Linked DNA regions of Medicago truncatula. The protein of the gene in region 3 interacts with the protein of the main gene of each other region in a pairwise test. Links are inferred from orthologs where the notes say so. Each region holds a gene or a part of one and is shown on either strand. Other genes may lie near its edges.

What was found.
Region 1: the proteins of auxin response factor 5 (region 3) and auxin-responsive protein IAA20 interact in a two-hybrid assay, tested with the Arabidopsis thaliana proteins (2 studies listed by BioGRID). The link is inferred for Medicago truncatula from reciprocal best matches to the Arabidopsis thaliana genes MP and IAA20.
Region 2: the proteins of auxin response factor 5 (region 3) and auxin-responsive protein IAA29 interact in a two-hybrid assay, tested with the Arabidopsis thaliana proteins (2 studies listed by BioGRID). The link is inferred for Medicago truncatula from reciprocal best matches to the Arabidopsis thaliana genes MP and IAA29.
Region 4: the proteins of auxin response factor 5 (region 3) and auxin-responsive protein IAA9 interact in a two-hybrid assay, tested with the Arabidopsis thaliana proteins (2 studies listed by BioGRID, with this or other methods). The link is inferred for Medicago truncatula from reciprocal best matches to the Arabidopsis thaliana genes MP and IAA9.

The regions. Positions count from the first base shown.
Region 1 is NC_053048.1:52,423,615-52,429,740, forward strand, and holds auxin-responsive protein IAA20, read right to left. Parts: upstream 1,560-6,126; 5' UTR 1,479-1,559; coding exon 1,309-1,478; intron 1,222-1,308; coding exon 1,067-1,221; intron 991-1,066; coding exon 891-990; intron 804-890; coding exon 743-803; 3' UTR 529-742; downstream 1-528.
Region 2 is NC_053044.1:52,829,926-52,836,597, reverse strand, and holds auxin-responsive protein IAA29, read right to left. Parts: upstream 2,014-6,672; 5' UTR 1,834-2,013; coding exon 1,586-1,833; intron 1,352-1,585; coding exon 1,113-1,351; intron 1,020-1,112; coding exon 929-1,019; intron 753-928; coding exon 689-752; 3' UTR 529-688; downstream 1-528. UniProt on the Arabidopsis thaliana protein: Aux/IAA proteins are short-lived transcriptional factors that function as repressors of early auxin response genes at low auxin concentrations.
Region 3 is NC_053042.1:7,849,155-7,856,262, reverse strand, and holds the start of auxin response factor 5, read left to right. Parts: upstream 1-4,098; 5' UTR 4,099-4,256; intron 4,257-4,396; exon of another isoform or gene 4,397-4,641; 5' UTR 4,642-4,666; coding exon 4,667-4,769; intron 4,770-4,887; coding exon 4,888-5,000; intron 5,001-5,141; coding exon 5,142-5,240; intron 5,241-5,338; coding exon 5,339-5,395; intron 5,396-5,501; coding exon 5,502-5,654; intron 5,655-5,739; coding exon 5,740-5,824; intron 5,825-6,197; coding exon 6,198-6,288; intron 6,289-6,562; coding exon 6,563-6,727; intron 6,728-6,818; coding exon 6,819-6,941; intron 6,942-7,040; coding exon 7,041-7,108. UniProt on the Arabidopsis thaliana protein: Auxin response factors (ARFs) are transcriptional factors that bind specifically to the DNA sequence 5'-TGTCTC-3' found in the auxin-responsive promoter elements (AuxREs). Seems to act as transcriptional activator.
Region 4 is NC_053049.1:30,676,935-30,684,577, forward strand, and holds the start of auxin-responsive protein IAA9, read right to left. Parts: upstream 3,005-7,643; 5' UTR 2,805-3,004; intron 1,380-2,804; 5' UTR 1,361-1,379; coding exon 947-1,360; intron 748-946; coding exon 584-747; intron 199-583; coding exon 1-198. UniProt on the Arabidopsis thaliana protein: Aux/IAA proteins are short-lived transcriptional factors that function as repressors of early auxin response genes at low auxin concentrations.

The DNA.
Region 1 (6,126 bases), on a different chromosome or scaffold from region 3:
AGTAACACGAGATTTAGTCACGAGGGAGATAATAGAAGTATGAATATGAGGAGTCAGAATCATCATCATTTATGATTCTCTCAATTTTTTCAATTTGGATAAACAAAGACATAGATAAAATTAGAAGAGAAAAAAAATTTAAAATAATTAATAATTTGGGACTCACTTAGTTGTAAGATCCACTATTTATTTTGTGTTTATCTCTGTTTAAACAATAGAGAAGATTCTTACTCAAATATGAGACATCTTGCAATGTTAATGGCCGATTTGAAATATCCATTATTCTCATAATTTTGAAAGCTCATCACAAAGTCAATGGACTATTTTGGTAGTTTACTGGTGAACTTATAACAATTTTTATTTTTTATTTTATAGATTGTTCGTTACATTGGAATTTCAAAGAATCAGTTGGTCTGAAAATATATTTTACATAAATGATTTTTTGAGAAAATATTTAAATAAACTTAATCTTAGAACACAGTAATTCAAACGAAAGTGAAGTCACTGGTGGGCTTGATGAATAGAGCATGTACAATACTATTCTTTTCCATTTGCTTCTTAGAAATTAAAAAACAAAGTGAGAGCTATGCATTTACATCTATGTTTTTCCGCATACTCCACTAATTAACTAGAGTAAGATTTTTCTACATTACATGATCACATAACAATCACACTCTATTGAGTCTCACTCTAGCTACAGAACAAAATTTGAAATCAAGCACATTTGTTGTCATATACATTTTTAACACCCAAATGTGTCTACCCTTGTGATCTTCAATCTCTTAACAGTCGATAAAAACATCCTACACATTAAAAAAAAAAAAAAAAAAACACAAACACATTAATACACATACATAATGTCTTGTTGTGTTCTTCAAAAACTAACTTACTCCCAAGGAACATCTCCAACCATGACCAAATCCCCTTCTTCATCTTCATAAGTTAACACATGACATCTTTCTGGTTGCACTCCATCCATCTCATTCCCCCCTGTTCCAAATAGTACTCAATAAGTAAACAAAAACATCATAAAATTTACAAGACATTAATAAGAATAGGATCTTACATAGAATGGTAGTGTCAAACATGTGCTCAAGAGTCTTAACTAACTCATGGTAACTTTGATGAGCAAGTATATTCAGTTTTCTACCAATTGGAATTCCTTCCATGTACACCTTCACATACAAGCTATTGTAGTCATAGTTTTGTTGCCATTGCCCCCTAATATAAAAGAATGACAAAAGAAATCAACATAAAATAATTAATGATATATGAATGGTGAATATATATATATATATAGAAATTAACCTTGAAATTGATGAGCCAACATGAAAATGTTGAGTGGGAGAAATGGTGAGTCCAAGACTAAGATCTGTGGGAAGTTGATGTGTAAGAGAGGATGCAGTAGAAATATAAAGATTATGGTTGCTGTTACTGCTAATAGATGAAGAAGAATTTGAACTATTTGTTTTTCCCATTGTGATTGTGAGCTAGATGACATAACAAGCCGCCACCTTAAGGCCTTATATATAAACAAATTTAATTGAGAGATCTATGCTATGCTTATGAAAAAAAAACTCAATTAGACTTCCTCAGCTGTTGTGCCAATTTAACATTTCTTTTTCTTTTTGTTTCTCCTATGTAATTTGGTGGACCATCAAATGTTGTGAATGTAGCCGACAATTACACGTGTCAGTTTAAGAATCCAACTCAGCATCTTTTTATGTTTCAACAAATATTTTCAAGTGTGATGTAGCAATTTCTCCTATTTCAATTTTCAAATACAAGGAAGAAAAGTCAAAGTAATAGATATATTTTGTTCAAAGTTTTAATGAGATACTTGATTTTGTTTTAATATATATATATATATATATATATATATATATATATATATTTGAAACCGTAGTAATATTATTCGTTATGATCTTATCTAAACATAGACGGTTTTTATCAAATATAAAGTTAATTAAACCAATTACTTACAATAGTCAGTTGTTCTTGATAGCTATAATGATTTTATTAATGTATTCTTTGATGTAATCAACATTTTCATTAATCCGACTCTAATATGATGTTAAATCGTGAATTTAAATTTCAATCTTAAAAATTAGTTCACACAAGGGGCTCAAGCACATATGTACATCTTGCAGTTCGAAAGTTTTGATAATATGAGATAATAGCTTAGTTAGCCTCGATAGGTAGAAAAGATTGAGTATTTAATAAACTTCTAAATTTAATATGTGCAACTATTTTATGATAATTTTTGGACAACTCTCTATTATAATTAGTCTTCTTTATCTTTATCTTTATTTTTCATTGTTTTGATAGAAGATTGCCAAAAAAAAGAAAAAAATTGACATATAAATATCATTAATTACTCTTGTTTTACCAACTTAACTTCAATTAAGCAATGTGAATCTTCTTTGGTATACAAAACAATATACTTTGACGCGTGTTATTCCATTAAAAATTGTTCATTATTTGAAACGTCTTTTTATGCACGTCCATGAGAGAGAACCAGTGTATTGTAAGTGCTTATGATGCATGTAAAATAATATGAACACTTTAATATATTTAGAGGAAATATGAAGGAGATGTTGGAGTTACAATAGAGACATGTAATGGACAACGCGTGTGGTGGTTTTTGTTTGAAGGGAATGAACCTAGACTGTGTAGAGAATTGATGGGCAATATTGAGGTGGACAAGAGAACATTGATAACTGAAACCTTGTACACATAGACATAACATAGGTCATATCCAATGGATCAATGTTCAATATTGGATATAATCATCGTGTAGCGCATGAGGGATCTTGATTGCTGAGACCAAATTCTATAAACAAATAAGGTATTGAAACTTGTGATGCTTCCTTCCTTGAAACGCTCCATGAATAGCAAAGAAACTATCAACAGCATGAGAGTATACATATGAAGATAAGTTGCAAGCATTTTTTTAACAAGAAGAATGCTAACTAATGCTCTTGAGATGTTGGTTAAAGTACTAAAATAAGTAACTTTATAACAAAAAGTTATGTAATTATTGTTGAGATAAAAGTAAAAACTTGCATTTCTAAAACATAATTTCTATAAATGAATTCTTTAACCATTGCTCTTAAGATACTTGTTAACGAAACTCTTTTAACAAAGGAATTGTATCTTCCATGCACAACTACAAAAATTAAAACTATTATTGATATTCATTAAATTAAGGGATTTAAATCTTCAAACAAATATTTTACCATGTGCACACCAAAAACTTAAGACCAAATTGTTAGAACATCTACTTGTGACGCACATGTTAACATATGTCTTAAGACATATGTTAAGAATGTGAAATATAGAAATTGTGTATCGAGTTCCCGTGAGCTTAGCTCAGTTGGTAAGAACATTGTATAATTTATGCAGGGGTTTGGGTTCGAACCCCAGACATCCCATTTTTCCACAATTAATTGTGTGACCACTAGGCTATTAAACCAAAAAAAAATATTGTGTATCAAAAATAGTGTAAATTTATTTTTCTAAATACGGAGTATTTTCTATTTGGAAAAATCTTAACATGTGTCTTAGTTAGGGTGTACTTAACTACTTATTACAATTAATTACACATTGAACCTAATTTACTACTATAAGACAAGTGTCCTCCCTTTTGCTTTTCAATAATTTAACTAGACACACTACCAAGCTTGACATCATTTTCCTTGTTTTTTAACCATCGTTGACGTGAATGAATGACATAGTAGTAATTTTTAGGGTTAGAATTATTTACGGCAAATTTGCGAGTTTAATAGAAAGAAGAAGTTAATCTGGTTAATAGCACTACATATTTTTGTAAACTGAGAATTAACGTATTGAATGATGTAAAATGAGTGTACGTTCAAAAGTATTTATAGGTTCGATGTGAAATGATAATATCTCACAAATTTGTTTGAACGCCTATGAGACAAATCATTAGATACAAGTAATGAATTTTATGCAAATTCCTTGTTTTATTTTTTTGATGTAAAAATCCTTGTTTGAACCAAAAAGAAAAATTCGAATGAATTGTGTAAAATATAATAATTCGAACCAAATATATGACATTTTTATTTATATTTAAGATGGGCGGAATATCATTTCATTGTGTGCTTATATATTCATAAAAAATGTGTATGCTTTTTTTAGAGGAAAAAAAGTGTGTATATATGTTGTGCTTAATTTTTGTTGGGTACAATTAATGGCTATTATTATTATTATTATTATTATTATTATTATTATTATTAGTACTACTACTACTACAAACTCCTTATAAATTACTAACATATTTTGTTTATGCATAAGTTTTTTTTAGGAGACTTTTGTTTTAAATAAGTGTCTTTTTTTGAGAGCGTTTAAAATAAGTGTCTGTTAACAAAAGGATTGTGCCACATAAAGCACGGGCATTATATATGTATATACTTGGCCTTTTCTGATAAAGATACTAGAACCCTAAAAAGGAAAAACTCATGCTTGGCCTTTTTTTGCTTGATGGTTCTTTTAGGTGATAGACTCAGACATTGAGAAGTAAGTAAACGTTTCTGTTTTGTGTAATATATCACAGAAGTAAGTAAACGTCACTATAATTTCTTTTAATATTATTGAAACCTTTTATATATTTTCTTAGTCAAAGTCTTCATCAATATCATTCACCGAATATAATGAGAATTATAAAGCAGATAGGTTAACTCCTAACCAAAAAATAAAGATTAGTATTCTTAAATTAGGTTAGCAGTTTTTGTTTAGAGATTAAGAAAATAAAAGACATAATGATAGTATTGGAGAAAAAGAGATTTGATATGAAGGGGAGGGAGCACTAAGCAACAAAAAGACATAATAATCAGAATTGTCGAACAATGTCTAATGACACTTTTTTAATGGTAGTGTGATGCCGAGCTCCTGTCTTGGGGACACAAAATAAATTCAATTTAATTTGTTAACACATCATATTCTAAGTTTCTTCTCCATTCAACACATAGCTCCCACGTGTAATATTTCACGCTTACTAAGCAATTTTATTTCCATGAGCACGTCTTAATTTTTATTTTTATTATTTTTCCTATGGTTCAGAAGTTGAAGAGGGAACAAGAGCTTTAAAAAACAAAATCAAAGAGCAAAACTTGGTACAATTTGCTTGAATGTAAAGAAACGACATGCTACCTAAAGAAGGAGGTATGAGACTACTAAATACTATTCAACCGGGAGAAAAGACAAAAAAAAATGAAAATGTTCCCCACCATACCATTACCAACCATAAGGTTGCTTGAATTAGCCATCAAATTGTCATTTGGTCCCCAGCAAAGTACATGAATATTAAGCAATGTGTAAACCAATTAACGTTTCTGTTTTGTTTAATTGCCGGAGAAAATGTGTCTTGCAACGATAAGGCCAATTTAGTCACCGTTCCTGTTCTTGTACCCCTGGTTTTTCAATGCAAAGTATGTGACCAATATATATAGCTCGATTATTACTGTTTGAGGGTAATTAATAGACGATAAATGTTAACGGATGTCCCAGAGCATTCTTTAAAATGAAAAGTAAAGATAAATGAAAAGTAACATAATCAATCATGTTCGAATTCATATATTAGAGTTTAGAATTTGGAACGTAAAGATGTGCAACTACGCAAGCACACTAGCATATAACATGCATATGCACTTGCATGCAGATACATAAGTTTCAAACAAGCAAAGTCATGAGATGATGGCTGCACTGCAATCACCTCACTACCTCCCACTATACTTTGGTTAAAAAAAACACACCAAGCACACCCTTCGGTTAAATAAAATAAAAAAACTCCAAAGCACACACTTTGGTTAAAAACTCCAAGAATAAGTTTAAAAAATTCTCAAATAATTAACGAAAATCCAAGCACACACGTTGGTTATATAAAAAAAAAAATAAAAAAAAATCAACACCCTTTTGTTATCAGCACTTTCGTCAAACCAGATTTTAAGAATGCAAAGCAGACAACCCAGTTTTATGATAGAAATACTTTCTATTAACACAAGTAAATGACGTTTTTACCCCAGCGGTAGTTAACAACCGTTGGAGAAACCGGCGGCAGTTAACTGCCGCTGGCATCAGCGGTAATTAACTGCCGTTGCAATGTTT
Region 2 (6,672 bases), on a different chromosome or scaffold from region 3:
TGTTTGTAATTACTATTGTTTTTACAATTTTATCCTTTAAGAAAGAGAGTTGATTTATGTTTTCAACATGTTATTTATTGCTGATTGAAGAAAAAGATGTATAATAAATAGGGGCATGTATGTAAAGAAATAATTATTGTAGTTGGAAATAACAAAGGGGTCTTATAAAAAGGGACAATTTTTTTTTCAAAAGAGTCTTATAATTAGGGACGGAGGTAGTACAAATCTTCACTATCTTAATTCCCGTTATTTTTCAAAAGGGCCCTATAATTAGGGACGGATGTAGTATTCTTTTGTGTTATTAAGCCATTTTATATAAAAGGATAAGACTATTTGGCAAATGTTGAAATTTTAGTTTTTTTTAGATAGACGGAATGGTAAAGTCATCATAAACACACACATAAGTGAAGGTGTCAGGGTTTGAATCTGGTCATGACGTCTGGTCTAATAATTTTGACATTTTTATCAACTTATGAGATTGTTACAAATTATTTGCACACACTTGAACAATTACAATATTATTATTAGTAAAAAAATCAAAATTATTACAAATTATTTGTAAATTGTAATTCACTAATTTGACTTCACATATTTTGCTTATGCTCTCTGTAACACATTGAAGGAGATAGTACTCTTTACTAACAAAGTACAACAGCATTAAAGTACAAACTATGTAGTATAGTCTTCGTCAGATAGTTTCACATTCTCCATTCCTCAATATAGCCAAACGCCGCACAGTACCAATAAAGGATCTGCAAAAAAAGTTATAAATTTGATCTTTAGACACCTTACCTTTCTACAATGATGATATTTCGTATTCCAAATTTCTAAATTCTCGCTCCTGATCCAAATAACTGTTGAGTTCATGTGATATAAACTTGTCCATGAAAGTATGTAACATTAATATTTATATAAAACAGACACATACTGCCATGTTATATGGCTTGTAAGCTTCCACTCCCCTTGTTTATTCTGAAATGTGAGTGTATAGTTTGCTCCAGTTTCCTCAAAATTTTGGCCTGTTCAAAATAATAAAAAACAAATCCACTAAATATACCAAAAGCTAAAAAGGAATGGCACTATGAAGTATGAATATATCGCTAGACACTAACATTTAACAAACATGCTAATCAACGAGTCTTTGAGAGTTTGATAAGAGTTGTAAAGCCTCAAATTGATTTGTCTTCCCATGCCAACCCCTTCCATGTTAACCTTAACATACAAAGGTTTTGATCTTCTATTTTGATTTTCATTAGCTTTCCTTATATGTTCAGGAAGCTGCTGATCATGAAATTCTTTCTTCCTCCATGATTTAATTGGTGGCCACCCAACCAAATGGTTTTCTCCTTCACTATTTATACATGTACATCAAAAAATTATAATAAAGGTGTCATGATATTTATAATAAAAAAAATTAATCATATTAGCAGCTAGTTTAGTGCATGTTAATTTGTAATCACGATAAATTTTACAAAGTCAAGTAGCACTGTGATTTTGTTGAAGCTAGAAAGTGTAACTTTTGTCTAAATTACGGTGACACGTTGTAACTTTGTCAAACTCATGGTTGATCCATGCATGAACTTACTTGTTTGATGTGTGAATGCTTCTGTTCTTCTTTTCACTGCGGCCATCTTCTTCATTTGGTTGTCCACTCCATACTAATAGAGGCAAAGGTTTCGAAAAATCTCCAAAAGACTCATCAAAGCTACGTTTGTTTTTGACATACTTTATATTTTCTGAACCGCGAATGTGATTATTTAAATCAGAGTTGTAGGGATCGAATCCTTCAATGGAACTATGAATGGGTAGAGCCAGACCTGACTGAAGTTCCATGAAGCATAAGAAGCTAGGCTAATAGGTTAGAGATAGGTACTTGCTAGCTTTCTAAGAGTAATTGAGATTACTTGACTTATGGGGTTGTGAGTATATATGTGTGTTTGTGTGTGAGTGAAGGAGGGGAATGAAAAGGACTATTGTCTTGTGGAACAAGGATTGTTACAGACAACAAGGAAGTTGGGTCGGCAAAAAGAGTAGCAGCATTATAAGCATGTTGAGAAATGAGAGCACCAATGTGCTATGACCACTTTACTCTCTTTTGTTGGTCTCAATTGTCCACTCAATGTGTCCCCTCATATACATATTCGAATTTCAATTTTCTATAGTCAGCAATTCGCGCATTCACACAATCAGGACGTTGGTGGTCACTTGATCCAATTCGGACGGTTTGGATTGCAAGAGTGGAATTTCAGTTTTAAAAAGTACATTTAAATATGCATTAAAACCTCGACCGTTCGATTTTGATCCAATGATCACCAACGTCTATGACGATGTGATTGCACGAATTGCAAATCCAAATTCATATTTAGTAGTAGTCTCATGCTATAAGGAAGTGTCATATTCATATTCACCAAAATTTGGTGAAGATCATTACTCTGAAAAGACTTTTGGGATTTGGTTCATTAATTGTAAGGAAAATCTAATATTTAAAACAAGGCTTAATTGGATATTTGGTCCCCTAAATAATTATGAGTTTACATTTTGGTCCTATAAATTGTAAAACTCATATTTTGGTACCCTTGGTTTTGCTCCGTCAGTCAAATTGATCCCCTCCGTTAGTTTTTTAATGTTTAAAATTTTTGATATGATATTAGCCGTTTGATTGCATGTCCATTATACCTATAGTGAGCTATCGGCACCTAATTTTTCCAGCACTATCATCTTCTCTCTTCTTCTCCCTCACTCTTGTTCATCATCAAATATTCATACATTCATCACAATTCACAACAACCCATAAAAAAGAAGAATTTAAACCCAAAAAATTAATAAAAAATTTGGAAACACACAAATCTTTTTTTTTTTTTTCAGATTCTGAAAATAAACCACAACAACAATCAGTTCTCATTTCTCCATCAATCTGAGCTTTCTTCAAATCAAATCCAAATCTATTTCACAAAACCAATCCAGCAAAACAAAACACAACACAATAAAGAAAATTCCGGTGCAGCGCGGTGGTGGGGTCGTTGTCCGGCGCGGTAAACAAAACCAATCCAAATATGTTATTGTTCATTGTCCGGCGCGGTGGTGGGGTCGTTTTCCGGTGCGGTGGTCGCCGAGAAAATTCACCGGTTCGTGGTTTTTCTTTGTGGGTTTTGTAGAGAATATGAAGGAGAGTATGTTTATGGTAGTGGTTTGTCATGAAACAATTTGTGGTGGTCTAGATCTAATAATGAAAGTGACGGTTTGGAGACTAAAATATGTCTCCGATCCAAAATTAAATTTCAGAATGAGATAGAGAAAGAAGAGAGTATGTAGATTATGTATTTTGTTTGACAAAAGATGGCCGGAAACACCACGGTGGGTGGCCGGAAAATTCGGTTGGAAAGGAGGAGAGGGAGAGTATGGCTTTGTTTTGTAGAGAGAGGAAGAAAGAAAAGGAAATGAAAGAAGAGTGGAGTAGATTTTGTAAAGAGAGGAAAAAATTATGGTTTTTTTTTTCTTTTGGATTTTTGTTCATGAATGTTGGTGAAAATGATATGAATATGATGAAGAAAAGTGAGGAAGAAGATGAAGAAAGGGAGAAATAATTAAGTGTTGTTGACTCACCGTAAGATAAAATACATCTGCGTAATCCAATGACCCTCCTTTTAAAAAAATATCAAACAGTTTAAATTAGAATAATTAATAGGATCTATGGTGGACCATTTTTAAAGTCGGTCCACCATAGACATTTGGGGGTTAAAGTTAACAGTTAGGACCTTTTTGATTCGACGGAGCAAAACCAAGAGAACTAAAATGTGAGTTTTACAATTTATGGGACCAAAATATAAACGCATAATTATTTAGAGGACCAAATGTCCAATTAAGCCTTAAAACAGTATGTTTTTTTATGAAAAGATAAAACAAGACACAGACAGATAAGCAGATGCAGAGATATTAATGGTATTGATTATAAAATGAACAGCTTGTGTATTTTGTGCTGGACATGATTGAACATTATGTTTTCTTAATATAATGTTACCCCTTTCCAACCAAAACATTAGTGACAAAATTGTTTATTGCCCTCAGTTACTTGTGATTCTGATCAATCCTGAAGAAATAATAAGAAACTCTTAGCAGCAAATCATAAATACTCTGCTTGTGGTGACCATAAACCTGTAGAAATTAAAACAAACTCCTATTTAGCTATGCAAAAAAAAAAAAAAAAAAAAATCCACACAAATTGACAAGAGTCTGTTTAGTTTGAGAAAAACGTTTTAGTTTCATGTGCTATTTTTACTTCAAATTGTAAAATTTACACTTTGTTTCTATTTCAAATTAAAGAAATGTATAAGAATTAGTAAAAGAAATTGTTTTTACTTCATTATATACAGATATTTTAAAACAAAAAAAAATATTAAAAAAAAATTAGAGACATTTTTACAACCAAAAGAATAGAAAATAAGAACATAAATAATTTTCTTAAGCCAAAGAAGTCCTTAATATTTCGTTTCAATTTATTTTTTGGGGAAAAAACTTCTCAAAACAAGGAAGTTACTATGGACATTACGATTGTACGAGTATTCATGAGTGTTGCGGGAGCACTAACATTCTGTTCTTTATTATTATGAAAGACCTAACTTCCAATATGAAAGACCTATAATAAAAAAAAATGAAATAAAAAAAAAAAAAGACCTAACTTCCAATTTTTTTTTTTTTTATATTTGATATATAAAAAAAAATGAAAGGAATCAGTAGCTCATGAACATATTGATACTTGTTTGTTAATATGTCCAATATGTCGACTATAATGCCCGTCAAACATATCATGATTTTAGAACTCAAGCAAATTATTCCTTCAAAAAAAAAAAAAAGAACTCACGCAAACTAATTGCGTGTTTAATCTACTTATGCACTATGCACATAAAACATTTGCTTCAAGATCATTAATGATCATTTGTCTGCAATGACAATCATAATTTAAGGAGAATTCTTATTTACTCGAGTTAAGCAAAACCGAAAAGGTGAAATGCGCTACACAAAGCATCAACTTTGCAATATATCGTATATTACTATATTAGGTATGTATGTGGTCCAAAATACAAGTGTAGGGTTACCAATAGAGCACAATATAGTGCTTGACAAAGTGTACGTAAACTTGTGAAACCCACGTGATGGTGCATGGCAAATTATGCTATTCACTAAACTCCGCACGAACAAAGGATTGAAAGTTGGAATCCAGTTGTTCTATATAGTTCCCATGCGGTGAAGGGTACAAACTCAACTAGTAGGACCCCTAAAGTATTATGGGTCTAATTCATTGTTGGCCATTTACCTATCATCCATTACTTCACCCACACACACCCCTACAACTAAATTGGTTAAGTGTCTAAGTTTGGCCAGGCAAGATGAAACCCCATATAGATAAGATGTCACTTTCGAATCTCAATTACTAATTAGAGAAATCAAAGCAAAGCATGGCAAGGTTTTGTTCCTGAGTTTGATGGATGAATTGAACCACTTCAAAAGAAGCAATATGCATCATACAGAGCATTAATTATGGTTTGTGTTCCTTGGGAAAGCTTTGCTTTGCTTTGATGACACGTACTGATCATTGTTGTTCTCCTGCATCAGGGATCCTTAAATCGAGCTCAAGCTAGCTATGTAGTCCCAAACTGAATAACTTGACCTGAAAATCTTCGCTAAGCACGGTGGATCCAAGCTCAGCTACCACTTCACAATCTCCGGATATGCACCAATCACCATTTCAGCGACAAAAATTGTTGTTGGAACAAGTCACTTTCTCCAACGATAGTGATATTGTTTATAAATAACAATAACCTATTACAACAACTTTGATTAGTCGATGTTATATGCATATAAAAAGTTGTATTATTTTCAACAACAATAGTTATTGTTGGGACAAACCATTTTTCCCAACGATAACAATATTGTTAAAAAAAACTTAATACAACAATTTTAATTAGTTGTTGCTATATGAATGTTTTTGCCAACAAGTTTATTGTCGCCGAGAAAAAGTCTTGCCAAAAATCTTATTTCTAGTAATGTTGATGTCTAACCTTTGGCAACAAACCTTTCCTGCTCCAATATAACTTAGTGTGAAGGGATTGTGTTGTTGTACAAGGCAGAAAGATCTTAAAACTCAAATAGTGCTTACAAAAAGAACTGCATCTAAATTCCTTTAAAGAGACGGCATAACTTGAACCCAAAACCCTCGAATATAAGACTCAACTTTTTATTCTTTACTCGTAACTCAACGCTCGAGTGTTAAGCACACTTTTTACTAGAAGAAAAAAATTTCAAACATAAATTATGTTTTACCAAATTCATCCTTGGTGAAAATGCATTTGTCATTTTTTAATTTATTTGTGTTTTATCATATATGCTTTTAAGATTTTTAATCGAACTTTTAATTTTTCATGGATTTCCTTCATCGGAAGAAATCTTGACATTATCCAACACTAAATGTGAGTATATTTCATTGTTAGATTTGAACTTTAGTTGGCTACGTATTTGTGGGAGTCTAGACCTTTTGTAGGGATGACATAATAATCTCACATGCGGATATCCGTGAATAAAATCTGTCACATAATAAAATAAACAGGTATTTCAACCATCCATTATTTAATGGATACAAATACATATTTAATGGTATTCGTTAGTAAATTAAGTAAA
Region 3 (7,108 bases):
TACTTTTACTATAATGACCTTATTCATTTAACATTTATTTCATATATTTCTCTCTCCACAATAAATAACTAAGAACAATATTGATAAAACAACATCTAATGTTGCATTGAACTTTGAAAGTGACAGTTAAATAGGAACAAAAATTTTCTCCAAAAGTGACACTTAAAAAGGAATGAAGGGAATATTTTTTGTATCTCCGAATTGCATACTCTATTTATTTTGCCAAATGGATAGGATCTTACCATGAAAGTTGGGTTTAGAGTTTAGTCCAAAACATACTTAAAATGCAGTTTTTGTCCTGATTTTAATTTCTTGATTTGTAAATATAAAAAAATCGGGTGGCATTTCACATGGGAAAGGCCAATCCTTTCCTACCATGGGAAAGTTGGATTCAATGATTGGATCAAGTGAAGAACATATTCTTATCATGCTCTTTCAACATTAGATTTTTCTTCACACTATATACCAACAATTTTAAAAATTAATTTCCAAAAATTAAAAAAATCGAAAAAAATTCAGATATTTTTTTTTAAATTCTGTAATTTATTTATTGAATGTTAGAAAAAAATTTGAAAAATTGAAAATTTATTTATTTATTTTTCAATAAAAATAAAATTCTGGAAACTAAGATAAGTTTTTATTTTAGTAATAAAATGAGATATTCTGAAAAATAAAATAAAAATCCTTTTTTTTTTTTAAATTAAAGTTTTTTATTTTTATAATTAAATAAAATTCTGGAAAATAGTTTTTTTATTTTCAAAAAATATTATCTAATTTTTTGTTTTTATACTAAAAAAAAGTTTTATTTTGGAAAAAAACTTTTTAGAATGTTAGGAAAAAAAAATCTGATCCTTTTTTAATTCGGAATGGTAGTAAAAGTGTGTGCAAAAATCTAGTGTGAAGAGAGTATGATAAAATTGTTTTATTTATTTCATCTAATAGTTAAATACCAACTTTTCCATTTGTGAAATTGTCTTCGTCTCTGCCTCTAAGATCATCTCCAATTAGGATGTATGGATGTTTAAGTTGATAAATCTGCACTTTAATTTTTCAACCATCATGCTGCAAAATCGATAACATATAAATCGTTGAAGTATTTATATAAAATACGATATTATAAAATAACATTGAATATAGTAAAACTACCTGGTTTAGTTTGGATTTTAGAATGTGTTTCTTGTAAAGTCTTGTTTTGATTCTTCTTGTTCTTAGTTTTGGTGGATCGGTTTAGCTTTTTATTATTATTTTTTTTTTAAATAAAACATTGAATATAACTTAAAAAAAAATACTTCATCTGGTCTCGAATATAAGAAAACATTCATTTTTTAAGTTCATTAGATAAAAGATATATGTGATTTATATTATAGTTCAAATATATTATTTATTGAATGAACTTTAGAAAGAATTTTTTCATGTATTTGAGATCAGAGGGAGTATAAAACATGAGTTAATTAAGAGTTGTGTAATTTTTCTTTTTGTATTGGAGCAAAATAAGCATGATCCCATAAGTAAGATGTGCATTGAAGATCCAATTTTTTTAACGATAAAAATTATTTTGACAAATCGCACAATTAAAGATTATTTTAGAAATTCGACAATTTGAATGATTACTCGTTATCATTCAAGAACAAAAATGACAATTGTCTTAAATAAATAAATAGATGAGGTGTTCTTTGGTATCGATGTGATTTTAATAAAATCACAATAAAAGTTACTTCAATCAAATGCGTTATTAAAATTTGAACAATGATATTTGTGCATCATTACTTTCCATAAATCATTAAACACCTTAGGGTCTGTTTGGTAAAGCCATCAAACGAGCTTATAGCTTATAGCTTATAAGCTCGTTTGATAAAAAAAGCTCTGTTTGGTACTGTCTTTTCACCACGAGCTTATAGCTTATTTCACGAGCTTATAAGCTATTTTTCAGAAGCTATTCCAAGTAGCGTTTGAGCTTATAGCTTATAGCTTATCATCTTTTCTTTCATTTTTACCCTTATCATTTTAATTAAAACCCACTTTTACCCTTTATATATTAAAACACATTTATTACGTTTTCTATGTTTTTTTGTTCCTACGTTTCCAGTTTCTATATACTTCCAATTTAATTAGTACAACTCAACTACTCGAGTACTCTTCAAATAAAAAAAAACTACTGGAGCATATTTTTTGAGCATATTTTTCATATATTCATCTACTCGAACTTACTACTTTTAAGCATAGTTCATCATGTATGACGTTGAGATGTATGTTTTCAATGCTTTGTTACGATTTTTTTTTCTCTTGTAACAATTTTTGTTTTAAAATAAAATTATTTTTGAAAGAAATTTTTAAACTTGAATTTTTTTTGAAGTATAAAAATGGAAATGGAGTAAATTTAAAATAAAACTATAACAAAAAATTAATATTTTTTTGAAAGAGAAAAAATAATAATTTAATAATATATAAAATATATATTAAGAACATAATTTAATAATTTTATTAGAAATAAAAATGTCCTTTTATGTCATTTTACATTTATCAGCTAGTTTTACCAAACACTTTAATCAGCTTATCAGCTATCAGCCATCAGCTATAAGCTATCAGCTAGCTTATAAACTATCCGTTATTTTTACCAAACAGAGCCTTATTGTTTGTCTATCTTTCCTTTTCTATCTCGTTAACAATATATCATATCTATCACATCACTTCTTTTTATCTTTTTCACAAGATGTCAAATGGTTTTGGATGTACACCAATATTTTTCCTTCAAATTTTGTGTGATACACCATTATACCAAGTACTCACTCTGGTCACTATTATAAGCAAAACTCAACTTTCTAGATTCATTCAATAAAGGGTTAATATGCCTTTACCCCTGTAATATAGATCACTTTTGGTTTTGCCCCCTGTAAAATTTTCTTTTTGGAAAACCCCATAGGCTAGCTGACTCTGTATTTTCGTAGATGTGGCATGTTGCATCACTTTTTTTGGATGACGTGGCGCGCTGACTGTATAATTTTTTTTATGGGGTACACGTGGCATTTATGATTTTAAAAAAATTCTTAATTTTTTTTTTAAAAATGAAATAAATTCTGGAAAAATTAAAAAAATCTAGAAAATTTAATTTAAAAAATATGGAAAAATTAATATAAAACAAAATTTTCAAAAAAATTATAAAATAAAATCGAAAATATATTATTATAAAATTCTAGAAATTAATTCTGAAAATCAAAATAATTATATAATAATATAATTTCGATTTTTTTATAATTTTAATTTAATTCAGATTTTTTTATAATTTTTTTGAAAATTTCGGTATATATTAATTTTTTCATTTCATATTCTCAAAGGAGTAAAAATATTAATTAATGTATCTTTCTATGACATTTCATATTTTTATGTTACTTCAATTGCAAATTTAATCAGCTAACGTGTTTGTTATATGGTATATATGGTATGATGAAGTACGGACACTGACACGAACATCAGACACGACACGAACACTGACACATTAACACAAATAATAATTTTAAAAATGACATAATTTAGTATAATTATAGACATCATATCTGTGTCAAATATCGACACGTATCCGACATGAGGAGTTAGGACACACCTAATTCAAGAATGTCCCTACCTCATAGGTTATATGTTATAAAATCACCACCAAACCAACCAAAATAAGTTTAATACTTTTATAAGATCATCCATTATAAACTAATTTATAATCTATTCACAATTTTTACTAAATAGAGGTTATACATATACTAACTAGGGGTCCCAATGGTATATTAATTACCCTTGCTATTATATTTTTGTTCAGAAAAATAAATGTACTTGTGTTTATTCAGAGAATAATAAAATAATAATGTTTGTTGCAGTTGCAAGTACTTGATAGCGTGTAAGTATTGTACTGTTTCTGACTTCTTTATAGACACATTACATTACTTTTGCGTATATAGCTCTGCTTTCCCTATTTCAATTTATTAATAATATACTCTATTATTATTCTATACTATAGTACAGTACTATTCTACTAGTACCATTTTCTTTACCTCTTAATTATTTTTTTCATAAATATAAATACTATAATATAATAAAGCTGCAAGGGTTAGAAGTTGTTGTTGGAAGTAGCATGCACACTGCTTCTTGCTGTTTGAAGCAAAGAGAAAAAAGAGAGAGAATAGAAAAAAGTGCTTTGAGAATTGTAAAGAAAAAACAAAGAAAGAAGGCACTGTTTCAGAGTGTGATGTGATGAGTGGTTTCACTCAAAGGTTGGTTTCTTTTTTATATTTAAAGATAAATAAAAAACCACTCATTATGCTTTGATACGCGTGCTTTGATGCAAACTAATGAAAGTTTTTTATTTTTTCTACTTTTCTTTTTGTCAAAAGATTTGCACTTTGACCTTTTTTAGCAGTTTTTGTTCCTTAGTTCACTCTTTTTCACATTACTTGGATTGTTTTGTTTTTCTTAGACAAACAACAAAATGAGATTCTCATGTTAAGAATTTAAGAATATTAATGATGATGATCAAAATGGACCCTTGTTCTTGTTTTGTACTACCCTTTTGTTTCTTCTACTTTTCTCTCTCAAGTCAATACAAGTTTATTCCTCTTTATTGTGTTTGGTGGTGATGTTGCATGTTGTGAATTGAAGACTAAGATAGTGGTGAAAGTGGAACATGGCTTCCTTAGACGAAAAGGCTAAAAGTGTTGGAGGTGTTGTTGGTGGTCAAACTCTTGTTGCTGAAATGAAGTTGCTCAAAGAAATGCAAGAACATTGTGGTAAGTTCATGTTTCCTTCTCTTTTTCTTAATTTTTACAATGTTTATGTTATATGTTTTCTTAGTAGAAATTGAGATTTTGCTTTGATTGATATTTGGTTTTACTAATTTTTGTTTAGGGGTTAGAAAGACATTAAATTCAGAATTATGGCATGCTTGTGCTGGTCCTCTTGTGTCTTTGCCTCAAGTGGGGGGTCTTGTCTATTACTTCCCTCAAGGACATAGTGAACAGGTAACATTCAAACTCAAGAATCTCTTTTTTATGCTTTAACATTTGTAAGTGCTAGAATTAGCATGATTCTAGGTTTCTATTGAATGGTTGAAACATGTGTTGAACTTTTTTTTTTTTTTTTTTGTGTTTTGTCTTTTTAAGGTTGCAGCTTCTACTAGAAGAATAGCAACCTCACAGATTCCAAACTACCCTAGTCTTCCATCTCAGTTGTTGTGTCAAGTACAAAATGTCACACTACATGTAAGTAGTGTTCTCTCTTGATTTACCACTTTTTGCTTAACCACTCATTCAAACTTCAAATTATCATAACCCCTTTAAATTGTATGTTTTGATAACAGGCTGACAAGGAGACAGATGAAATCTATGCTCAAATGACTCTCCAACCACTGAATTCTGTAAGCTATATGAATTAGTTAGTTCTAGAATTATTGTTGTTGTTATTGTACATCTAAATGTTATTGGTTATGATTATTATTGATGTATTATTTTCCATTTTTTTAGGAAAAAGAAGTATTTCCAGTATCTGAGTTTGGACTAAGCAAAAGTAAACATCCAACTGAGTTTTTCTGCAAAACTTTGACTGCCAGTGATACTAGCACACATGGTGGCTTTTCGGTTCCACGCAGAGCTGCGGAAAAGCTATTTCCTCCATTGGTAAGGCTATATTGCACTAGGTGGTTGCAACCTTCTTTTATGGCTGTACAAGAACCCTCATTTGATTAGTGTGTTTTGGTTTTAGGATTACACAATTCAACCCCCAACTCAAGAACTTGTTGTTCGAGATTTGCATGATAATACATGGACATTTCGACATATTTACCGAGGTGAGGATGTTTTCTGCATCTATGTAGCACCTAGCATATACACTTTAGATTAATGGTGTGTCCGGTGTATGATATGTGTGTCAGAATCGGTCACCGACACATGTAGTTACATTCAATTTTTTTCACGTTTTCTAATTATTGTCAGTGTCGGTTTCATGTGTGGTGTTCATATCTGTGTTTCATAGTTCTACCATGTCTATTGGTTTGGTAAAATATATAGGAATAAATGTTTGTGGCCGTGGATTACATATTGTATTATTTTAACTGCAACTTTATACTTCCTCTTGGCTGATCTTAACCTTCAAAATATTTAGTCTTAAAAGAGCCTGATTGGGTTAGATCCTTACATTTCTTTCCTACATTTTTCATGTAGGTCAGCCGAAAAGACACCTTCTCACAACGGGTTGGAGTTTGTTTGTCGGCTCAAAAAGGCTTAGAGCAGGCGATTCTGTTCTTTTTATCAGGTAAAATTTGTTTGCTTCATTTTTGTCAAGTAGCTTCAACATGATACGAAACTCTGTTATTATCTGAATATAGGTAGAATAACTAGTGTGCAGAACAAAGTCTGCATAATCTTTCTAATTAGACTTGTTTTTTCTCCATGGTTACATTGCAATGTAATGGTTTTCAATATTGGGAAAATTGTGGAAGTCGGATTAGCAACTTATTATTTTAAATTCTGACCAATAATCATCTTCACATAATTTAATACTAAGTGTGATGTGTCATTGTTACAAGGGATGAGAAGTCGCAACTGCGAGTTGGTGTAAGGCGTGCTAATCGTCAACAGACAACACTGCCATCATCCGTACTTTCTGCTGATAGCATGCACATTGGTGTGCTTGCTGCTGCAGCTCATGCTGCTGCTAATCGAAGTCCGTTCACGATTTTCTACAATCCAAGGTATACCTAAATATGTTTATACCTCACCTGACATTAAATATTTTTAGATCTAATCTTGGTACTAATATTGTCTGGAGTGTACTATTTGCAGGGCATGCCCTTCAGATTTTGTTATTCCACTAGCCAAATACAGAAAATCTGTCTATGGGACTCAGCTGTCAGCTGGCATGAGATTTGGTATGATGTTTGAGACCGAGGAATCGGGTAAGCGCAGGTAATTTCCTGAATTCTTCTGAACTGTTTTCTGGGATATGTGCAAACTCCTGAACTAACAAGAATAGTTGATATATATATATTTCTTCTTATTCTGCAGATATATGGGTACAATTGTAGGTATCAGTGATGTCGATCCTTTAAGGTGGCCTGGTTCTAAGTGGCGAA
Region 4 (7,643 bases), on a different chromosome or scaffold from region 3:
AGGTCAGACGACAGTTCCTGGTATGTTGTATAGTTTCTTAGATCTACCTTCCTAAGATAAGGAGCGCCATCCATGCTAACCTTCACAAATAGTGCAGCTGCACCAGGCTTTCCATCCACTTCGTCATTGTTCTTTGAAGTGGTGGCCAGTGAGTTTTTCCTAAATGATCTAATAGGAGGCCAACCAACAACTTGTGCTCTGTCGTACATAGAAAGTAATTAGCATTATTACAAAGACATCAAAAAATCCCTTCTAAGGTATTGAGTAAACCATTGCTTTAGTCATTGAAGAATCACTCTCTTCTATTTAGTCCCTAAACTAAATCAAAATAATAAATAGTCCTTAAACCATCTGACATCTGTCAAGTTAGTCCCTAAACTATATGAAATTCGTCTCTTTAATCCCTAGTAGCTCTTGTCAATATATAATAGCAAGAATTACCGATTATTTCTATATATTTTACAGACTAAGTAGAAGAGAGAATGATACTTAAAGGAATAAACTGAAGGTTTATTCTTAATATATTTGTCCAACTAGATTGTCCAGAAAATAGTGGATCCTTGATGTAGCATGTTCTACTTACTTAGCAGCCGGTGCACTGCCACTGATGGGAGCTCCAGTTCCATTCGCTGTACAAGGGCTCTCTTGTACCACCTTCTTTGGCATTTCTTTAATTGTAGTAGGCTGAGCTCCAGAAGGTCTCGGCGAAAGCAGTATGTTTACGCGAGTATTAGCAGTATATTTTGCCTGCATCACATATTGTTAAGAATCAGACTCAAAAGCAGTATGAACATCCATTTGACCTTTTGTTATTCAAAATTGATGTGCAAAAGCATCCCTATAGTTTCAACAATCCCATCTAGGTTAACATCCCAGACACTAAAATCATTTGCAACACACCAAAAATATATTAACTCTAGTAAAAGGAAAAAGTTTAATTTTTCACCTCAGGAAACACTTCCAGTGTGTCGGCGAAACCTCTTTTGTTGCCTGAAACAACGGTCTTTTGGGACAACGAGCAGATTCCATCTTTAGTGGGAAGCAAAGGGAAAAGTGGTTTCTCGTCAAGTTTTGTTGAGTTCAACGGAAAAAGATCAAGATCCCTTTCAGGCGACTGAGATCCAGGAAGTCCGAGCCTTAACTCCGTCGCTTTCAAATTTAGGTTCTCTTTTTTCTCATCAGACAAGCTTGGGACAGTAGAACTGTCAACCGATGAGCAATCAGACAATCCGAGGTAATTGCGTTCCTTCAACCCAGCTGCAGTTTGAGAAAAACGGTCCAAGGATTGTGGAGATGCAGATGCTACCGTTGAGGGGTTGCTCTGCCCTTCCTCTTCAGGAAGCAGCAGTGGCGGAGACATCAGATTCCAAATATGCAAACTGTCATAAAAGAAAGTTATAAAAGCACAATTCACGCAATACATTGGCAGAAAGATTAAACAGACCGAATTTTTACACTTCATATAGGACGAACATGGTAACCATTTCATCTAACTATGAATGAAATAATAAAAGTAGGCTAGCACAGACTATGTAGCACTAACACTTCAAATTAAAAGTGTTTTTGGCGTCTGACAACGACACACCTCGTTACCTTCAGTTATTCCATTTTGTCAAATTAGTAAAATGATGTCGCATGTTAGTGTTAGTGTTGTGTCCGGTGTTTGACCCAATTCTTCATAGTGCAAAGACTAAATCAAGATTAATAAGAGGGCATCCAATTGCATGTGAACACTCTTAGACAATGTTTAGAAAAAGGGTTGCAATTACAATCTCGGCTGTGACATCAAGATATTTAATATCTGTGCAACTGCGATTGATGCTACATCAGCCGCATTTAGCCGTGATTTTCCACAATATCAAGGATTGCAAAGACAACCACGTTTTAAATCTCTGCTTTTGGATATAGTATATATTATTATGTATGTATCAACCTCTGTAGCATCGACACTTTTGATCGAAGGCGTCAATGTCCCTGTCGGACATGTAATTACATTCAATCGTATCATTTTTTCAAATTACTATCAGTGTCGACGTGTTAGTGTCCGGTGTGCATCAGTGCTCCATTGGTTTTTCATCTAACTAATAACTTTAGAAGTGAGAGCAGACATTTTTGATTTATTAATTAATGGTCAAGTTTGGTTTTTATAGGAACCTATCATTTATCATCTATGAATGATTTTATCTCCAAGATTAGTTCTTCTCACCCTCTCACACGGATCAAAATAACATTTTTACCCCCTAACTTTCACACTGATCAAAATATATAAATAAGTCTTTTTTCAACAAAAATATTATAATAAAGCTCATGAAATAATATTCGAACGCTTAGAAATGGAAAATACCCTTCATTTTTTAAAATCGTAATTAACATGAAAAAATGCGTTGTACCAAAAAATAAAAAAAGTAAAATGTGAAAAAATGAAAATACCATGAAAAATTTGGGATTTTTATTTTGCAATAAGGAAACCCCAACATAATCTAAGTAAAATTTAATAGCCCCATATTAAGCAATAAATTAAACAAAAAATCAACTTGCAAGAGGAAAAAAAGTAAATTTATAAAAATAGATCCACACCCACCTTTTTTCCAAATTATTTCCTTCAAATAAAAAGAAAAACAAAAAAAAACAAAACTTTTGCTAAGGAATGTGAATGAAAAAACTAAGAAACAATAACATAAAAGACACAAACATAAACAAACCCGAAAGCAAAATAGCTAAAAACAACAACACAAGAACAATTATTGTCGAAAAAAAAAATAAGAATAAAATAAAATAAAAAATGAAGCATAGAAGTAACATACCTGTGAAAATGGAAGGTTGGTGTAGAAGGCAGAAGAGAGAATGAAGAAGAAGAAGAAGAAGAGAGAGAGAGAGATTATTCCTTGTTGTTTGAAGAATTGGCAGAGTGAAGAAGAGTGAAACCTAAAGAGCAGAAGAGAGAGAGTGAAGTCTATTCTACTCAAGGGCCTTCCATTCCATTAAGCACAAAGCAACAAAAAGTGTGCTTTGGAGTGTGTATAATATACATACTCATAAAATAATTTTACCTTTTTCATCATAATACTAATATTATATTCATTTTAAGGGGACAGGGGCAAAACAGACCAAACATCTTCTGTTACCGTAACAACTTCCACACTTTCATTTCTTTACTTTTAATTCCAAATTCTTTTTAGTCTCCTTAAATACGTCCTTAGAAGTAGCTCATTATCCTTGCTATTGAAATCAAGCAACTTGATATCAATTTCACTTTAAGTTTAAAAAGAAAAATTAGCTTAACTAACTTAAAAATAACCCTATTATTTCGGTACCAGAAAATTGACTTTGTATTTTTTCCTTAAATTCCTAAAAGAAAAGAATTACGATATGAATATTTATATGTCTGTTTTTTCTTCTTCCTTTATCATCTAAAAAGTGTAACAAACTAAATGAGTATATTTATACTTACTTTTTTCATTATACCAATTATACTTTAAAACAATATTTTCTATAATAAAGATTGTTGTTGATGTCATTAAAAAAAGAATTTGGATTTTTTTTTTTGTTATATTGTTGGTGTCATAAAAATAGATAATCATGGTTAATTTGGTTTGTTATAACTTGAAAGCAACAAACATCTATATTTTTAGTTTTAATCAAAATCAAAATTTCATAAAAAAAAACACTGTTTATAATTTTGAAACGTTATCGCAATAAAAAGAGCGGAAAGACAGATACATTGAATGTCCGTCTTTTCGCTAGTTATTTATAAAGAAAATGAATATTCTTTTATGTGATTCCAAGTATCCTAATTGATAAAGGTACTAACACAGGTCATTGCATTGTATACTCCCTCCGGTTGCTATTATAAACAAAATTTAATTTTTCAGATACATTGAATAATTAATGTATCATGTCCATAACAAAGACTAGATACATTAATTATTCAAGACTAGATATATTTAAGTGAAGGGTGTTTGGGTTGAGTTACTAATTTAATACTCTAAGTTAAGTGAACATGTAGTTTGACTTAATTCAGGTTGCAGTATAAAAATCGTAAACTGAACTGAATCGCATTGTTGAATGAAAAATTGACCTAAATACCACTAAACTAAACAGAAGTTTTGCACTTTTTTTTATTGCGGTTTTCTATTGAAATGGTTTGATTTTCGACATCCCATGAATTCCGAAATTAAACAATGATAAAAGAAAATTTGGTATGTTTTGTCAAAATAAAAAAAAATTGCTATGTCTTCCTTTTTTTTGGTATGTTGTCTATAAAAAAAAAATGGTTATCCCCGTGATTATCTTTTTCCTCCAAGAAAAATAATTACTAATTAGAACTCCATCCATTCACTCTTATCTTTTAAGTGTGATTTTGTAATTTTTTACACGTACCAAAGATATTTAATAAGTATGGTTAATTTTGATATTATCATTTATATTTTACCTATATTATCATTAATCATTTATATTTTATTCCATCTAATTTTCTCTTTGTAATAAATTGTAAGGGTATTTCCCTAACAAGTGGCGATCAGTTTGAACTCTTCAGATCAATCAATCCTTGAATCAGATACCAAGTTTAAGAAAAATAGTAAGGGTATTATTGATAAGTTAATTATTAATATTGTATTGAACTTTAAAAATGACAGTTAAAAAAAAACAAAATTTTCTTTCAAATATGACACTTAAAAAAGAAACGAAAGGAGTAAAATATTTTATATAGATCAACGAGGATTAAGACTAGAAGAAGGGGTTAGACCGTCACATCAAAACAAATTATGACTTAGAGATAAGGTCGCAATTAATAAAATTATGGCTAAATTGAATTTTTGGTCCCATAACTATTTTGCTAGTATCGCTTTGGTCCCTTAATTAAAATTTGATGTATTTTGGTATCTTAATTTTCTATCGTTACACATTTTGATCCTTTATGTTAGTTTTAATTCAAAAACGTTAGGTTTTCTTATGTAATTTTTCTTGGATTTTTGTTGTTGAAAGGTTGATGGAGATGATATGAAGATGAAGAAGAGGAGAAGAAGATGACCCTAACGTTTTTGAATTAAAACTAACGTAAATGACCAAAATTTGTAACGATAGAAAGTTAAGATACCAAAATAAATCAAATTTTAATTAAGGGGTCAAAGCGATACTAGCAAAATAATTAAGGGATCAAAAATGCAATTTAGCCTAAAATTATCTACAATATGGAACATGAGAAAAAAATGTCATATCTATTATTTTATGCAACATTGATCAAAGAGAATTAGTTCATGGAGGGGTAAAAAAACAGTGCAAAAAGTTGAGAAAAATCAACTCTTAAGTTATTAGAAATCTCACATCTAGTATATAAAAGTGTTCGATGTGATATTTAAGTCATGCGACTCTTTGATTTAATGTTCGATTTTTGGTTTGTGTTCTCCTCGCACGCCTAGGTCATAACAATCGATGACTTCATTGAGAGGTAGACCAATGAAAGAGCAACAACACAAACAAAATTTTCTTTCAAATATGGCACTAAAAAAAGAATCGGAATGAGTAAAATATTTTATATAGATCAACGAGGATTAAGAGTAGAAGAAGGGGTTAGACCGTCATATCAAAACAAATTATGAGTTAGAGACAAGCTCACATTTAATAAAAGGGTCTTGTTAACGAGTGCCCCCGAGACACTCTTTAAGCATCCCAAATTTAACAATAATTCTTTTAAAAAGTCAACTATTACAATTTCCAATGCATTCAATACACAACTTTTCATTAAAAACTTTCCATTTAAAGGTGCTTAAAGAGTGTAAGGGGATACTCGTTAACATTTCCCTTAATAAAATTATCTACAACATGGAACATGAGGAAAAAATTGTCATTTCTATCATTTTATGCAGAATTCATCAAAGAGAATTAGTTCATGGAGAGGTAAAAAAAAAACAGTGCAAAAAGTTGAGAAAAATCAACTTAAAGTTATTAGAAATCTCACATCTAGTACATATAAATGTTCGATGTGATATTTAAGTCATGTGACTCTTTCATTTAATGTTCGATTTTTGGTTTGTGTTCTCCTCGCACGCCTAGGTCATAACAATTGATTTCATTGAGAGGTAGACCAATGACAAAGCAACAACACAAACACAATTTTCTTTCAAATATGGCACTTAAAAATGAAACGGAATGAGTAAAATATTTTATATAGATCAACGAGGATTAAGACTACAGAAGAAGGGGTTAGACCGTCACATCAAAACAAATTACGACTTAGAGACAAGCTCCCATTTAATAAAATTATCTACAATATATAGAACATGAGGAAAAAATTGTCATTTCTATCATTTTATGCAACATTCATCAAAGAGAATTAGTTCATGGAGGGGTAAAAAGAACACTGCAAAAACGTTGAGAAAAATCATCTCCGAAATTATTAGAAATCTCACATCTAGTACATAAAAATGTTCGATGTGATATTTAAGTCATGCGACTCTTTTGTTTAATGTTCGCTTTTTGGTTTGTGTTCTCCTCGCACACCTAGATAAGGTCATAACAATTGATGATTTCATTGAGGTATACCAATGACAGAGCAACATCTAAACTTTGATTAAAGTGTTCAACCAAATATTGATATCTATGTGAAGTCTCCATAAATAAAAGAGTTATCATCCAATCAATGTCGGTTGACGGAAAGCCATCATAAACACCGACTCTTAATGTTAAAAGTCCGACATCGATTACATGAAAATATTTAATGTGATACTTTAATTAGCTCAAGTTCTTCCACATAAGGAACTATTCTTTTGGTTCCAGACTCTCCCCATTTTCTTCTCTAAAAAAAAAAAAGACTCTCCCCATTTTCTTAACAAAATCACATGTGGAACTATAACATCGATCATTTTCAAAATGACCATTATTATTTTCGGACGTCCTTTTTCATGCTCAAAATATCATAATGAGTGATACCACAGTCGATGTTTGTAGGATGTTGACATTTGACATGCATATGGGAAAAGGGTATATATTATAACAAAAATGTACTATTAACTATAGAGTGAAATTCAAGCTCTGCCAATATATCATGTCCAACCAACAAGATGCAAATAGTGTCACTCCAACTCACACGCAATTAAGAAGAAAACTATGATCTCAAATATTGATTCTTGTTTGTTGGAGGGTGGTGGGGGTGACCCTCCCTGGCCGTATATGGAAAGAGATATTATGCAATATTGCAATGCATGCAGAGAGAGAGAAGAAGAGAGAGAGTAACCATTCCAAGACATATTTGCTGACATGAAATGATTATACTTTGCAAACCAAAATCTTGGCCCTGCCAGCTACTACTACATAACAATAATATTGTCAACTATATAGACAAATTCTAACTCCCTGTCAAAATATACGTCGACCTAACTAAATTATGGACCGTGTCTCCTATTCATGGTAAATGCAGTAACATTTTTTGAAAGAAATTTTAGTGAATATAATATTTTTACGTACTACGTTAAGAATATTAAATAGATTTACATGCTACTCCTAATAATAACAAATTATTATGCTTGCTTGAATTTTTCAAAACAATGGGAATATTCTTGTAACCGAAATATACTTGACAAATATAGACAAAAATCATTCAAGGGATTGATTTTATTGAATGTGAAAACCAATCTCAAGAGGAC